2 linked regions of the Saccharomyces cerevisiae S288C genome follow. The protein of the gene in region 1 interacts with the protein of each later gene in a pairwise test. Each region holds a gene or a part of one and is shown on either strand. Other genes may lie near its edges.

The links.
Region 2: the proteins of PEX21 (region 1) and PPA2 interact in a two-hybrid assay, tested with the Saccharomyces cerevisiae proteins (2 studies listed by BioGRID).

Annotation. Positions count from the first base shown.
Region 1 is NC_001139.9:967,119-974,923, forward strand, and holds PEX21 (Pex21p), read right to left. Parts: upstream 2,936-7,805; coding exon 2,069-2,935; downstream 1-2,068. Other genes in the region: KEL2 (Kel2p), read right to left, coding at 1-1,569; PFK1 (6-phosphofructokinase subunit alpha), read right to left, coding at 3,653-6,616; YGR240C-A (uncharacterized protein), read right to left, coding at 7,459-7,659; YAP1802 (Yap1802p), read right to left, coding at 7,757-7,805. UniProt on the Saccharomyces cerevisiae protein: Receptor that mediates peroxisomal import of proteins containing a C-terminal PTS2-type peroxisomal targeting signal via its interaction with PEX7.
Region 2 is NC_001145.3:796,929-804,924, reverse strand, and holds PPA2 (inorganic diphosphatase PPA2), read right to left. Parts: upstream 3,154-7,996; coding exon 2,221-3,153; downstream 1-2,220. Other genes in the region: TMA23 (Tma23p), read right to left, coding at 1-469; U6 snRNP complex subunit PRP24, read left to right, coding at 703-2,037; RSN1 (Rsn1p), read right to left, coding at 3,546-6,407; YMR265C (uncharacterized protein), read left to right, coding at 7,000-7,996. UniProt on the Saccharomyces cerevisiae protein: Involved in energy production. Its activity is stimulated by uncouplers of ATP synthesis.

The sequences.
Region 1 (7,805 bases):
AACAGGGAAATTTTTTTTAGATACTTTGATACCAGTTCCCGGACTTTCCTTATTGATGCTTGAATCAACTTTGGAAGATTGGGGTTTCTTTTCCTCCCTATCTGATTTTCGTTCAAATGCCTTATCATCCAAAGCGCTGGAGTAACTTCCAGCCCCTTCATCAATATCATTATAACTCAAAACTTTGCTATCAGGCAATCTTGGTGTAAGAATGTTTATTATCTCTTGATTTTCACTTTCGGTAGACTTAGAGGGTGTAAAGCCCCCGGAAAGACTATTAGAAAAACTTTCTCCTGCATGTAGTGATTCACACATTATTCCTGGGCATAGCTCATTCAAAGATGATAAATCTAAGGTATACAGTAAAGTTCCTTCGCCTTGGTCAGTTTCTGAAGTTTGTAGATCGTGAATATTTGGGCTGGCATAGTCAGTTTTGTCGCCACCCATGATAAGAAGCTTCTCATTCTTCATTAAGGTTAAAGAATGTCCAGAGCGTTCTTGAGGTATGCCCTCCTTCATACGGGGAAGCTTATACCATTTTAGCGATAATAAGTTTAAAAAATAGACATCGTTGGAATATGCGTTATGGGTATCCTTACCGCCTAACACACACATTAAATGTTTATACACCACACTAGCATGCTCTTGTATTGGCGGAGGCTTTTCTCCTGTGGTTTTAACTTTAGACCACTCACTTTGTGCTGGATCGTAGCGGTATGTATCATTGCTTATTGTCTTGGGAGTTTCCCCGCCGAATACCCATAATTTGTTGTCATATGCCACCATTGTATGATTTGTTAAAGGAGGAGGCAGGTCGCCGACAGGCTCTAAAAATTCCCAATGAGAATTCGGCCTACGGAATGATGATAAATCAAAGACGACCAGATCGTTAAAATAAGTTTCATCTACTTGTCCGCCAAAAAGATATAGTTTAGTTTGCATAGGGTTGCTAGCAATTATAGAAATTTTATGGCCGTACCTGCCCAACGGCCTACGGCCGATAGGTTGTGGTATGGTCCACTTATAAGAATTAATATTGAAAAGATAAAGATCATCATCCAACAGTCCGTTCTTATTCAGCTTGTGTGTGTCGCCACCAAACACAACATAGGCATTACCGCATATAGTAGAGGCATGTCCCACTCTTGGGGGAGGTGTATTTTGATCAATATCGATTCTCTTGGAAGTAAAGCTCGTACCATCCGCGTTAGCGGCTATTTGCCAGACATCCCCATATACCGATTGATCGTGAAGTCCACCGGTCACAAAAATCCTGTTATCATTCGTAACAATAAATGAGGAAGAGTGTCGATAACGGGGAAACGGAGAGTTTTTTAGTTTGACCCTATTCCAAATATACTTCCCTGTATTCTTACTCTCTGGAGACCAGGGAAGAGCAGTCGACGCGCCTGATATGCCTCTATGCTGGTTTGGAGGTAGCGTAGGTGTTACTATTCGCGTATTGTTTCGATTATCCATAAAAACTATTGGTCTGGGTACACTTTGCGCTGAAATCAGAGAAGGTCCCGTGTCCGTAGGTACCTTATTTGTCAGCTTGAAAGGTACCATAGCTACTTAAGGGGTTGCCTGCCTCATCCAAATCATTTTTTTTTTTTGTTACAACCTATGCTAAAATTCACGTGTACGCATTTCAAAATTGAAAAAAAAAAGAGCAAGCAACACCAAAACCAAACTTCATAATAAATTAGTATCCCAAAAGACCCTTTCACAAGGTAATTACTTCCTTCGAGACTAATTCGGGTTTTGCGAAGCTTTTTTTTTTTTCTTCACAGTTTCTCCCAAGAGAAGAAAAAATTCACAAGCGTGTCATTTCGTGCAGCTTACATCAGCACAATCCATGCACAAAAAAGGTGTAGTAAGTTTTAAACGAGAGAGATGGGCATGACAGTAGGTAGGGCATGCATCTGCAGGAGTGAAGCTGCGATACTCCTCAGCGCAGAGAACACATAAGGGCACATATTCATGATTTTGATATTCTTAGCTATCTGTAAACATATATCAACGTATGTAGTAGTTACAAGAGGTACAATTGTAGAAACTGCCTATATCAATCAAGTATGTCTTTGTGAATTTCGTCCTTGACGAAAATGTGCCTGTTTCCGACCAGTTCCCCGTTGTTGGATGAGAATAACTCGCTTGCGGAATTTCCATCTGCATTTTTCTTTAAAGTCACGTCACCGCTACTAATGTTTCTCATTAACTGAATAAACTTCGACTCAGATAGTTTTGATTCGACAGAGGAGGAAAGAGTAGAAGAGGAGGATGCAGACGAAGGCGGTGGAGTACAGCATTTTACTATATCTGTGGCAATCCTTTGCAGTTCCGACTGATCTTGGTCGAACCATTTCTCGTCCCGACGTGTTATGGGCTCGTACCGCTCTTTTTGAATTTCTCTCTCCAAAACTTGGAACTCCGCGTCGAATTGAAACGCATCCGTTGGGTTGTCCCGGTTTCCTTGGCGTTGCTGTCGAAGCGTCTTTTGAGGTGGGTAAGTGCAACTTGTCTTCCTTATCATACAATTCTTAAAAGGTAAGTGTTGTCTGCTTGAATTCAGGCGCTGCTGTGACTCGTAATTGGAATACAACCTTTTATATTCTGAGCTAAACTCTAGTGAATCGTCAATCTTCATAGACGAGAACTGCGGAACCCAATCACTGGAATCTACAGTGTTGTTTGGAGTAATGAAGGTTAATGGAGAGGGTTGATTTTGATACCTTACATTGTCAATGCCGTCAAAATTACTACCATTATGCAAAAAGTGTTTTTCCACATGCGAGTCTTCAGTGGCATAGTGTGCTGTTAATTCCGTATGGGCCAGCTTGGTGCGTTTTGACGGTATTAAGGAATCATTCTGTATGCGATGCCCTTGTTGGATAATCTTTTCTATCGGGCTTGTATGGCAGACACTGGGCATGGTATTCTAGTTTGGTCTTTATAATTTTTCACCTGTTTCTTTTTGAAACAAAACCAAAGTATGCGGCGTCAACCTTGACTATATTCTCTTAAATATATATCTGCCGTTCTATCAGAGGTTTGAACATTGCCAATGCCTTAAAGAAATATTTAGTCATCCCATCTCCGATTATCGGCACTAGTTTCCATTTTTCCAGCGGAAAGATAAAAAGAAACGGAAAGAAAAAAGGCCGACAAATAAACCAAACGGTATTCGTAGACCGATGACAATACGACTACAATTAAGGTAGCGCGCCTCACTATGATGTGGATCAGCCTCACATTCAGAGCAATTTGTAGTACAGCAAAGTTGCCGATGTCGTCTTCGTGAACCATTGTCAACGCAGATTAAGCACACCCTAAAACTTGAATAATGCAAATTCCATAGCTTAGTTTAATCAAGGCGCCATTATTCCTCAGTTGAAAAGTATATCTAATGGTTAGGATTAGAAATATGTTCATTGCTCATTGTTATGTGTATCATATCGTACAAAAATTATATAAAGAAATAATAATGAAAAAGAGTAAAACAAAGACAAATAGACAAAAATAGAGGATAGAAAAAGAAAAACAACAGATACATAAATAAGTCTTATGACAAAAAAACGATTGTATAAAAATTAAAGTGCATGCCATTTTTACCTCCTTTTGCTTAACTTAAACTTTTCATTGCAATCATTCATTTGTTTTCAGCGGCTAAAGCGGCTACCTCAGCTCTCAACTTTAATCTACCGGACAGGATGTCACCAATCTTGTTGTATTCAGCCCAGTGAACTTCAAAACCCTTTCTTAATTCAACGTTGGTTTCGTTTTCCCAAAGGTTAGCAATTGGCTTGAAGGAAACGTGAGAACCATTAACACAGATAACAGCAGCAGAGTCATCTTCGTGCTCAACAGTTGGTACCTTTTCACCGTGAGTATCGAACTTGAATCTCAAAACCTTAGCGTCAGTGTTTGGAGAAGCTTCATTTTTCTTGTTCCATTGTTCGATAAACTTGATACATTTGACAGCAAATCTGGAAGCGGTGACACGGTCTTTAGAAGATGGAACACCACCTTGTTGAACATGGCCTGGGATAGCAGTTCTAACACCAAACTTACCCTTGCTTGCTTCAGAGATGATGTCAGCCAACAATTGAGTGCTATATACGCTAGAAGCTTGTTCGTTTCTAACCAATAGCTTACCGTTTCTGTTTTCACCTTTGTCGTGACGAAAGTTCTCTTTTAATAGAGTTATATCTTCTCTGATAGAAGCTAAGTCGATCTTCTTTTCTGGAGTGTACACTGAAACAGCACCAGTGATTAAACCAGTGAAAGAAGCGATGTAACCAGAGTGACCACCTTGGACTTCACAGACGAAGACTCTTCTTCTTGTCGCAGAAGCACTCTGTTTGATGTCATCAGTGTAATTGACTAATGCGTTCAAACAGGTATCAACACCAAGTGAGTATTCAGTACCTGGAACGTTGTTAGAAACAGTGGCTGGAATCAAACACATTGGAATGTTAAAGATTGGGTGTTGGGTTCTACCGTCACGCAATTGCTTCAAGGACCTGAAACCTTCAAAACCACCAAGAATAATCAAACCGTCTAGCTTGTTCTTTTGGAAGTAGTAAGCAATGGTACCCAAATCTTCTGAAGCAACAGATCTGTTCGTACCGATTTCGGAACCACCCAAGTTATGCCAGTTTTCGACATCAATCCATGATAGTTCCTTCACTTCACCGGTTTGAATCAATCCACTGAAACCATTCATGATAGCGTATGGTTTATGGCCGTGAGACAAACAGTATAGAGTTGCGGCACGGGTGGCAGCGTTCAAAGCAGCAGATGGGGCACCAACATGGACAATACCAATGTTTAGTCTGTCAGATACTGGCAATAATTCGGAACCATCATCTTTAACGGTAGTGGATAAGAAGTTTTCGTAAAGTTCAATAAATTCTGTGTCTCTTAAAGAAATTGCCTTATCGAAATCTTTGTTTTCAATGGCAGTGGCAACAGATTTAGTCAACTTCACAGATTCAACCAATGGCATTCTAATTATCTTGTTTTCTAAAATACCAATTAATGGAGAAGGAGTTTCAGGGGTAAATTCCAGAACGGCCTTAACAGCATCGACACCTTGTAGAGTAGCTAACCATCTGTCATGAGCAACAGCTGTACCACCTCTTTGAACGTGACCTAGAATGGTTACCTTGGTGTCTAGACCCAATTCAATCAAAGCATCTTTGACGTCATTGGCAGTAACAGGGTTTAATTGATCATCTAAAGCACCTTCAGCGACAATAATTGTGTTATTTCTTCTACCCTTACTTCTGTGTCTTTGGCACACTTCCTTCAATTCGTCCTGCCATTTTCCGTGAGGAACAGCTCTTTCTGGAATAAAAATGTAATCGGCACCGGTAGCAATACCAGCCATCAAGGCCAACCAACCACAATGTCTACCCATAACTTCAACAACAAAGGCACGGGAGTGGGATTTAGCGGTGGCATCAATGTAGTCAACCATTTCACAGATTCTTTCCAAAGCAGAATAAGCACCAATGGTAGAGTCAGTACCAGACATATCATTATCGATGGAACCGACAAGACCAACAATGGACAAATTCTTGTATGGGGCGACTTCTTCTTTAGTGAATCTACCTTCTGCAACCAATTCATCAACCAAAGATGGCCATTCGTGTCTGAAAAGATCAGCACCGGTTAAAGAACCATCACCACCACAAACAACCAAAGCGTCAATACCTTGCGAAATTAAATTGCCTGCAGCTTGTCTACGACCCTCACGCTTTCTGAATTCCATAGAACGAGCAGTACCAATCAAAGTACCACCTTCACTTAACCAACCTCTGACATCTTCCCAAGCCATTTTCTTTAAATATTTACCGCCTCTTAGTAAACCTTCGTAACCTTCGTAAACAGCAAAAACATCACAGCCGAAATGTATACCTGTACGAACAACGGCACGAACAGCGGCATTCATACCTGGAGAATCACCACCAGAAGTCATGACAGCAATCTTCTTCTTCTTTTGAGAAGAGCCCAATGTTTGTCTTAGTAAGTCAGAAGCATCGGAAGAAGCTCTAGAGATGATTTCGTCTTCGGAGGTAGCTTCTAAGAAAGCATCTTTGGAAGTTGGAGCGGAATCGGTTGCATTAGCTAAGCCTGAGAAGGTGATGTTGTTGCCCATTGGATCTTTCAAAAACACTAAGGTATCGGACAATTTTTCGGCTTGTTTTGGGAATTTCTCGACAATCTTGTTCAAATCAGTAGAGAAATAAGTGATTGTGGCGGTTTCGTTGGTGTCGAAAGTTTCATCGATTGGAGCAGACATCACTAAACGAATCTTTAATAGAGCACCTTGACTTTGAGCCTTGTTAGTAGCTTCTTGTTGTGGTATACGGAACCCAGAAGCATCAACCTCACTCAACTTGAAAGATTCTAACCAAACTTCTCTCAAGGAATCTTGGGAAGTCCCTGAAGATAGTAAGCTATTTTCACCATGTTTGAATTTGTTGAAATCTTTCACAGTTGCAAATCCTAGAGTGTGATAAAAGTGAATGGTCTTCTTGAATAAAGCTTCATCATTTGTGATGATAGATCTGAATGCAACACCGTAGCATGAATCTTGAGATTGCATCTTTGATATGATTTTGTTTCAGATTTTTTATATAAAAGCTTTCCCAAATAGTGCTAAAGTGAACTTAGATTTTTTGGTACCTGTTTCGAAATTAAAAATAGAAAAATTTCTCTCCCTATATTGTTATTCTTACTTCAAATTTGTTTATCGTTTATTTACTAGGCGAGACTTGAGTAGACGACAATCCAAATAGAATTAACAGATTTTATTGGTAGAAAGCAATAATATTCTTTAGATGGTTGAGAATAAAGAAGTAAAAAAACCAGTAAAGAGAAAAAGAAAAGGAAGAAAATTAAAGAAAAAGGATGATTACACAAGAAGATAATAAAAAAACTCCTTTATTAAGAGCGGAAGAATTTAATAATGAAGATGGGAATAAGCAAAACAAAAACAAAGAAGGGAAAAAAAATAAAAAATCGTATTTATTTATTTAAAAAATCATGTTGATGACGACAATGGAAAAAAAAAACCGATTTCACTTTCTCATCCTTATATTTTTCAAAGGTTGATGCAAGTCGATCTCAAATCGGATAACGCTGCCAACTGGGAAATTCCGCAATTCCGCAAGAAAAAAAAAAATGTGAAAACGTGATTGCATTTTTTACAGGTCCTAAAGGATTTAGCCCACATATCAAGAGGGTGGCAGTAATTGCACTGATTAAGCATTCGTCAGCATTAGGCGAATGTGTGCATGAATATTGCCAGTGTGCTCGATATTAGAGAGTACATTGAAGAATATTGTACCGGATTATGTACAATAACTTTGTTAATGAGATATTAATTTTCTTTTTTACTAGCCGCTATCCCATGCACGATGCTAAATTTCAAGAAGAAACTGAGATTTAAAAAATTAGTGGAAGCTGATAAAACGGACTATAATGGTGTATGGATTGAGGAATCTCGACATGTTTTTCCATCGTTTTCAACGATGACTGTAACCCGTAGATTGAACCAGGCATGCCAAAGTTAGTTAGATCAGGGTAAAAATTATAGATGAGGTTATATGTATGGTACGTAAAATTTACATGTTTGGATAGTATCATAAAATATAGAAAGGTGGAAGGGATTACCTAAAAATCAGAGTTTATAATATGCAAGGACGGCCTGTTGAGAACAAAAAACTGTAGTATCTATCGCTCACTATATATCTATTAAGTTAGGATTTTCTTGCTGATGCTGCTGTTGTTGC
Region 2 (7,996 bases), on another chromosome or scaffold:
TCTCACTGTCGTTACTAGTCTTTTTATCTTTTTTCAATTTTTTTCTCTTGACCTTGTTATCATCTTCATCACGCCTTCTTCTCTTCTTCCCTTTACTCGAACTTGCACTAGATACAACAAAGCTGGCTTCCTCCTTTTTACCAAGATTAGTAATGGTTCCTTTCAGCCCTTCTCCCTTTACAAACCACCTGTATAGAGGTGAGCTACTTTTCGATACAGCAGTAGCAACTGCCTCATTTTGAGTAAATTTAATACTGCCATTATTCGAATCAGTGCTTACATCCAGGTTCTTCAGATGTCCATCAAATAGCCTTTCCCACCATGCTTCGCCATCATTCCCGCCAGGAGCATTACCCAATCCCTTCTTATCTCTCTTGTGCTTTACCAGTATGGGTCTTTTCAAACCACCTTCTCTAAACGCTTCTCCTTCTTTCCAACCATATGATATCAGATATTCTTTGCTATCCATGTCCGATTTATTCTGATAATATTTCCGCTTGTATCATTCAATTTTCTATGTACATCATGACAATGAATTGTAGAGTGCATCAATGTCTTTTTTAAAGTCATCGCTAAAAAATTTTCAGGCGGGAACTTATTCAAAATGGCAGATTTACTACAACATTGAAAACCCTTTATATTTATTATATGAGAATCATTAGCGATAAACAAGCCCACATATTCACTTCATAATCTGTGATAATGGAGTATGGACATCACGCTAGACCAGATTCAAAACGACCATTGGATGAAGGATCACCAGCAGCCGCAGGATTAACTTCTAAGAAGGCGAACGAAGCTTTAACAAGAAATAGAGAATTAACAACTGTATTAGTCAAAAATTTGCCTAAGAGCTATAATCAAAACAAAGTCTATAAGTACTTCAAACATTGTGGGCCCATTATACACGTTGATGTTGCGGATTCGCTGAAGAAGAACTTTCGTTTTGCACGTATTGAATTTGCCAGGTATGATGGAGCCCTCGCTGCAATAACCAAAACACACAAAGTTGTAGGTCAGAATGAAATTATAGTATCTCATTTAACAGAATGCACATTATGGATGACGAATTTCCCCCCAAGTTATACTCAAAGAAATATTAGAGATCTATTGCAAGATATTAACGTTGTTGCACTCAGTATACGGCTTCCCAGTTTACGATTCAATACAAGCAGAAGGTTCGCTTACATCGATGTTACTTCTAAAGAGGATGCAAGATATTGTGTAGAAAAATTGAATGGACTCAAAATAGAAGGTTATACTTTAGTTACTAAAGTTTCCAATCCGCTGGAAAAGTCGAAACGGACCGATTCTGCCACACTAGAGGGGCGAGAGATTATGATACGAAACCTAAGTACAGAATTGCTCGACGAAAACCTTCTGAGGGAATCTTTTGAGGGATTTGGTTCCATTGAAAAAATCAACATACCTGCTGGACAGAAAGAGCACAGTTTCAATAACTGTTGTGCATTTATGGTTTTTGAAAATAAAGATTCTGCTGAAAGGGCACTTCAAATGAATAGAAGTTTGTTAGGTAATAGGGAAATTTCCGTTTCCTTGGCTGATAAAAAACCATTCTTAGAAAGAAACGAAGTCAAAAGACTTCTCGCATCGCGTAACAGCAAAGAACTAGAAACACTAATATGCTTATTTCCACTTTCAGATAAGGTGTCACCAAGCTTAATCTGCCAATTTCTTCAGGAAGAAATACACATCAATGAAAAAGATATTAGGAAAATACTTCTCGTTAGCGACTTCAATGGCGCCATTATTATATTTAGAGATAGTAAGTTTGCAGCAAAAATGCTAATGATACTAAATGGATCTCAATTTCAGGGAAAGGTGATACGTTCAGGTACTATTAATGACATGAAAAGATATTATAACAATCAACAGAATCACAGCATGAAACACGTCAAACCTAGTTGTATAAACATGATGGAAAAAGGACCAAATCTTCAAGTAAAGAAAAAAATTCCTGACAAACAAGAGCAGATGTCCAACGACGATTTTCGCAAGATGTTTCTAGGTGAGTAGACTAACCGAACCGGAGAAAGACGAACTTCTAATAGGATGTCATTTTAGCAGTGAATATAAACCCAAGTTTCTTTCCAAACGTTCACATACATCAAGCAGCCAACATTCGAGAGAGCAGAGATTACGTAATTATATACAAGGAACCTTTATCTAAACATTTTCTTCGAAGGTATTATTTTCATATTAAACGTAATACCATTTTTGCACCTCAGGCGGTATTTGAGAAGGGGGTTTAACACTATCTTCAAGTGTGACACCATTACCAGCCCTTTCTGTATTAGGCAGGTTGTCATACTTCTCCTGGAGTGATCCTGAAATGAGGTTTTTCCACGAATTGTGACATTTCTTTATAGTTTGGATGGTTTTATTGGAATTTTGATACTGTTCATGAAAGGCGAAACTATTTAATGGCTTCCCTGCTGGAACTTTATACTTTCTAAACCACTCCCTAGTCGTATCTAGAATCCCAGGAAAGTACTCCTCAATTTTTTCCAAGTCATCTATTTTAGAGGATAAAGGATCATTTACGTCGATCACTATGACCTTCCAATCCAATTCTCCATCATCAATTAAAGCGAGTGATCCTAATACCTTGACCTTTTTAATGGAACCCATTTCCAAAACATCCGAACCGATTTCGCAACAATCAAGAGGATCATTGTCACCTTTCAAAGCCACGTCACACTTCCCCAGTTTATGTTCAATTGTGGGATCTTCCCATGTTTGGGGAATAGCACCATAGTTGTGTATATAGCCGTGATAGGGAAAGATATTGTTCACGAACCTAAGCTTGCCATTCTTCGTATCTTGAACGATCGGATTGAACCTAAGTTCTTTGGATATTTCAAATTTTCCAGTTGTCCATCTTGGTACTTCAACAATCATATTTACGGTCTTTTCATGTTCATTCAAATCTAAAGGGACATCATGGAAAAAAGAACCAACCTCTCCATTTAATAATGTCAAGTATTTCTTAAACCCGAGGGTATATTTGCTGCCTTGTTGAATGGTGCTGAATTGTCTATGATTACGAATGGATAAAATATTCAATGTTTGTTTTAACCGTTCTATTGACCTAGCCTTGCTTGTTAAAGCATTCATTCGTAATAAATTCATGTTTTTCAGTAACTTCTCTAGAAGGGAATTTGCTTTTCACGCATACAAGCGAATCAAAGTTTCCAATTGAATGTACTCCCTATTAGTGCTGGTTAAATTAGCTGACTGCTCCGTATTACTGTGCGGAGTTCCTTTTATCCAATATTCAAACCTCATAGATTGCCAAAAACAAAAAAACTTTGCATAAAAAAAAACAAAAAGGGTTACTATACACGATGAATGATTAGACTATACACTATTATATAAGAAATGATTAGAATCATATTTTAAATGTATTAAAAGAATATATGCACGTCCTTTTCCTCTCCTTTTCTTAGTAAAATTACAATTCAACCATCAGAGGATAACAGCTAAACAAATAGGAATAGATAATTTCTGATAATGTTTAACCTTTAGACTGCCGAACGACTCTCTTCTTCCTTATACTTTGGGTCCGCAAATGGATTATTTTCCTTACTAGCTGTGTCAAATTCGCCATTTGCTTCACCATTTGCTTCGTCTTTAACATCATTATATGGTGGTGGTACGTCACGCAGAGTAAATTTCAAATTCTCATCGATGGTAGCATTTTCATCGTTCATTTCAACAACGCCAGAAACGTCTGAAATCAACAATTTGGAAAATCCAAAAGGATCGCGAGGAATCCACAATTCGGGGCATTGTGCACTAACAGCTGGATAATCGTAAGCATGAGAGATATCGAAATCATTGACTCTTTCATCAGGATCAACCAAACCATATATTTCTGGCAGTCTGCTCTTTACAGCCTTATAGGAGTAGTAAATGTGAGGTTTTAAGAATCTCTTCCACCATGGAGCCGGAGGAATTTTCATTGTATCACCATCTGCTAATAATGGCACGTCCTCAATTAAATTTTCTGCATTTATAGCGTGCCCATCTGCATTGGCTTCATTTGCTGGGTTGAATTGATATTCGAATGTATTTTCACTAAATATGCTATTTTCAACTTGTTGCTCAGTGACTGATTCACTCCTCTTGTGATATTTCTTTATTGGAAATTCAGGTAATTCTTTGATTCCGTCCATGTCAATATTTGCACCAAAAGTATTTTTCTTCACCTTTGTACTTTCTATGCCTTTATAAATATTTTTGAAAGAAGGTGTATCTGATACACCATCTAACGGTTTCATGGTATCAACGGGTATAACCTTTGATAAATGATCAAATGCAGCGCTCAAATGTAAATGAATAAGGACGGTAACACAAATTCCAATTACCTGTAAAACGATTGGGCCCCAACCTTTACCAACGGCAAAAAGACCTAATAGACATATCTGACCGATGTAGATACCAACTATAGTTTGGAAAAGAGCTCTTGGATAATAAATACCCCTTGCGTCGGGTGATTCCTGATAGACATAAGTCAAATTGTATAAATATGCAATATACAATAGGAAAAACGCGACGGCAGCAAATAATAAAATCAACGGAGAAATGATGGAGTAGGAGAAAGTAATAACTGCCAAGTTTGTATAAACTGGAAAAGCTGTCCCCCACTGCATACTGGATAGCCCACAAAAACGATTCCATTTCTTCCTAACGGTACCATCTAAAAAGGCACCTAAAACATAAAAGAGTATTAGTGGAACAATTTGCAAAAGAGCACCTGATGAAATGGACAGACCTTGTAGAATAACGTATGACATGAAAAAATTAGAAGCTTTTGGCAGATTAGAAGCCAGTAGATCCATAGCCTTCGTGGGCTCTTTAACAATTTCCGTTACTGTGGAAGTGGCGGCGGAGGATAGAGTGGTAACTAAAAAGACTTGGATAACTTGAAAGGCGAAATAAGCTTGTTGAGTGAAATATTCCACATTTTGCTTAGATGGAGCACCTTGAGTGATAGCCATACCCCTAATAAATTTCGGCAAGAAACTCATTAAAACGGCCAATGCCACAGTTGGGGCCAGAGATGTCAGTAAACCTAATAGTTGTTTTGGTAATTTATAGATGAACTTTAACCATTTAACTTCATTAGTCAAGGAAGTAATATTAGAGATCATACCAACAAAAGCCACTGGGAAAGCCCATAATATTACTAGCGCGACAATTGCTGAAACCGCACTGACTTCCCTACCTAATCTTTCCCACCAGAACATCCTCAAATTAAACCAAACGACATCGGATGGCTCAATACCAATATACACAGGCGTCATGAAAAGAGGAGCATGGTATGTGGTGATCTGAGCGGCAACTTGGGCCTGATATTGGGATTCAAACTCCACAAAAACGGAGTTGAAAGGGGATGAATTTTCATGATCTTCTTGTAATGCCTTCACCTTTTGGTTTAACTTGGGCAACTCCTCCTTAATGTAGGATATGGTGTCAACTTTTTTACCAAAAAAGAATTTAGCAACCTTGTTAATTTTATGATGTGGTCTTTTCTTGTCAGGGACATATTCAGCAATATTATCAGAGACAGATAATTGCGGACTTTTTTTGTTTAACTTCTTAATTTTTTTCAATGCTGCTTTCAGGTATTTTGTTTCAGCACCTTCCAATTGTATGGCCATATTGTCCCTTGCTTTGACCATTGCTTCAATTGAACCGGAACCTCTTGCGATCCAGACTCTTTTCACACCATCAAACAACTTAGAAAACTCTTCTTCACTTAAGTATTGCTTAGGGACAGTCTGGAATAACACGGTTCTCGAGGATAGTTTTTTAGCATAACGAGGGGACGCTAGTACAGCTTGCTTCATAGAGGTGTAAAAATACAATTCTCTGTAAATAATGTAAAGGAACCCCCAAAAGAAAATCCATCCACAGAAAACATGTGCAAAATATCTACCACGGTGCTTGACGTTCTGATAGGCCAATTGATTCAATCCGCTTTCATGGTTACCGTTACTGGCGTTAATGGACAACAAAATAGGGAATATATAACTCATGGAAACAGCACAGTAAATTGCAATGATGAAAAGGTACCTCAAAAAGAAATATCCATCCAGACCGGCTTGTTGAATGACAAAATTGTCTGATTTTTTCAATAACGGCTTCAGCCATTGCCAGACGCCCTGCGGTAGCGGTTCTGGCTTTTTTTCTTCATTAATCAGATTGAATGAGGATTTGGGCTCATAAATCCTTTTTAGTTTTATACGCAAAATCAAGAACGCTATGACAAAAACACCAAAAATAGTACCATTACTTACCAAAGAAGTAACGACTTGTTGAGTTGACGTGTTTGTACTGGTAGCTGTTGTAGTACTATTAGTACTATTAGTACTATTCATTTTGTCCCTTTGCCCTTGCTGCTAAGCCGTAAACTTATGATTACTAAAACAAAAAGAAACGGAAAAGGCAAACGAATTAATATATATAAGATGAAAAAGAAATAGAAAAAAACAACAAACCGAAATTTGATTACGAAATGGCCATTAATAATAATATTATACAACCAGGCACGGGACAACATCAAGATCGAGTGCCAAGCCATGCGGCTTTGCTGTTGGTTATCAAGTATTTTCTTCCTTTTCCACGATAAAAAAACAAAGATGAAGAATTTTTTTCCAACTTCAAAACCGAAGCTGGCCCACAGAATCCACACAGAAGAAACTTTATACCCGAAAGGAGAAGAAAGGGTGTGCCTTTCCCGCTAAAAAATCGTAGCCAGGAAAGGCCGCCCCTGTGATGTCAGCTGCGGGAAGTGATTCGCGCAGAACGACTCACGCAGACGGAACCGCAGCGATGCTGTGGTGCACGGCGGGTAACGGAAATAGAAGAAACGAACCCGTAGATCAGGTCTTACATTACTATAGCGTATAATGGAAGAAAAAAAATGAATTATCATATGTGCTGTTTGTCTGCATAACCCAAACGAGTATAATGGAAGAATTTGAAGAATTTCGAAGGAAAGGGGAGATGTCCAGCAGATGTGGCAATCACCGTGTGCTCAGAAAATGGAATAGTTGCGCTTGCGAGTTGGCCGTGCCCTTTGAGGTTCCTGAGCATGCGATTACGAAATTGCACATATACGACTTCGACAATACATTATTTGCAACGCCGGGTCCTACAGAGCAATTGTATACACGTGAGCTACTAAATTTGTTGACATCGAGCACGCTACCGAATGGAGGCTGGTGGAATGAGCCGGGGTTTCTGCAGGCTGCTATTGAGATCTCGAAGACTAAACCGAGAAGGTATTCGTGGAATGCGGATATCGTTAAATTGGCGGAGGAGTCATATTCTGCCAAGGATACTATCTCGATCGTTTTAACGGGCAGAGAGGAAAGTAAGTTCCATAAGTTGATTGAGCATGCTTTACAGACGGCAAGGAGCCATTGGAAATGCTCAGAAAATGAGTTTAGGTTCAATGCAGTTTGCCTAAAAAAAAGAGCAATTTCTGAGTACACTAGCAAATATAAAAAAGAGTTGATGCGGGATTTCTTAGAATATTATCCCTCTCTGCGGGAGTTGTCCATATATGATGATAGAATACACCAAATAGATGCATTCAAGTCTTTCTTCCATTCTTTGGATCTACCACGTCTGAAATGGTCTGCGATCCCCGTACGACCATTCACCAAATCGCTGCCAAGAGAGCAGGAACTTGAAATGGTGATGGACATGGTACGAAAGAACAATAGCCAAGCTCTCAGCACTTCACAAAAGTTTGATTTAAGACGGACTCCAAGACAAATTGGTTATATCCTTTGCACGGCATCTCATCGTCTATTATCAATAGAGGTCATCAAGTACTTAAAGCGGCGTAAGGGGAGAAGAACGTTCAGACCCAAGCTGTATGAACATCCCTTGTATATACCGTGCGCAGAACCCGGTAAAGATATCCCTGCACTTGAAATCGCTAAGGTATGGTCAAACA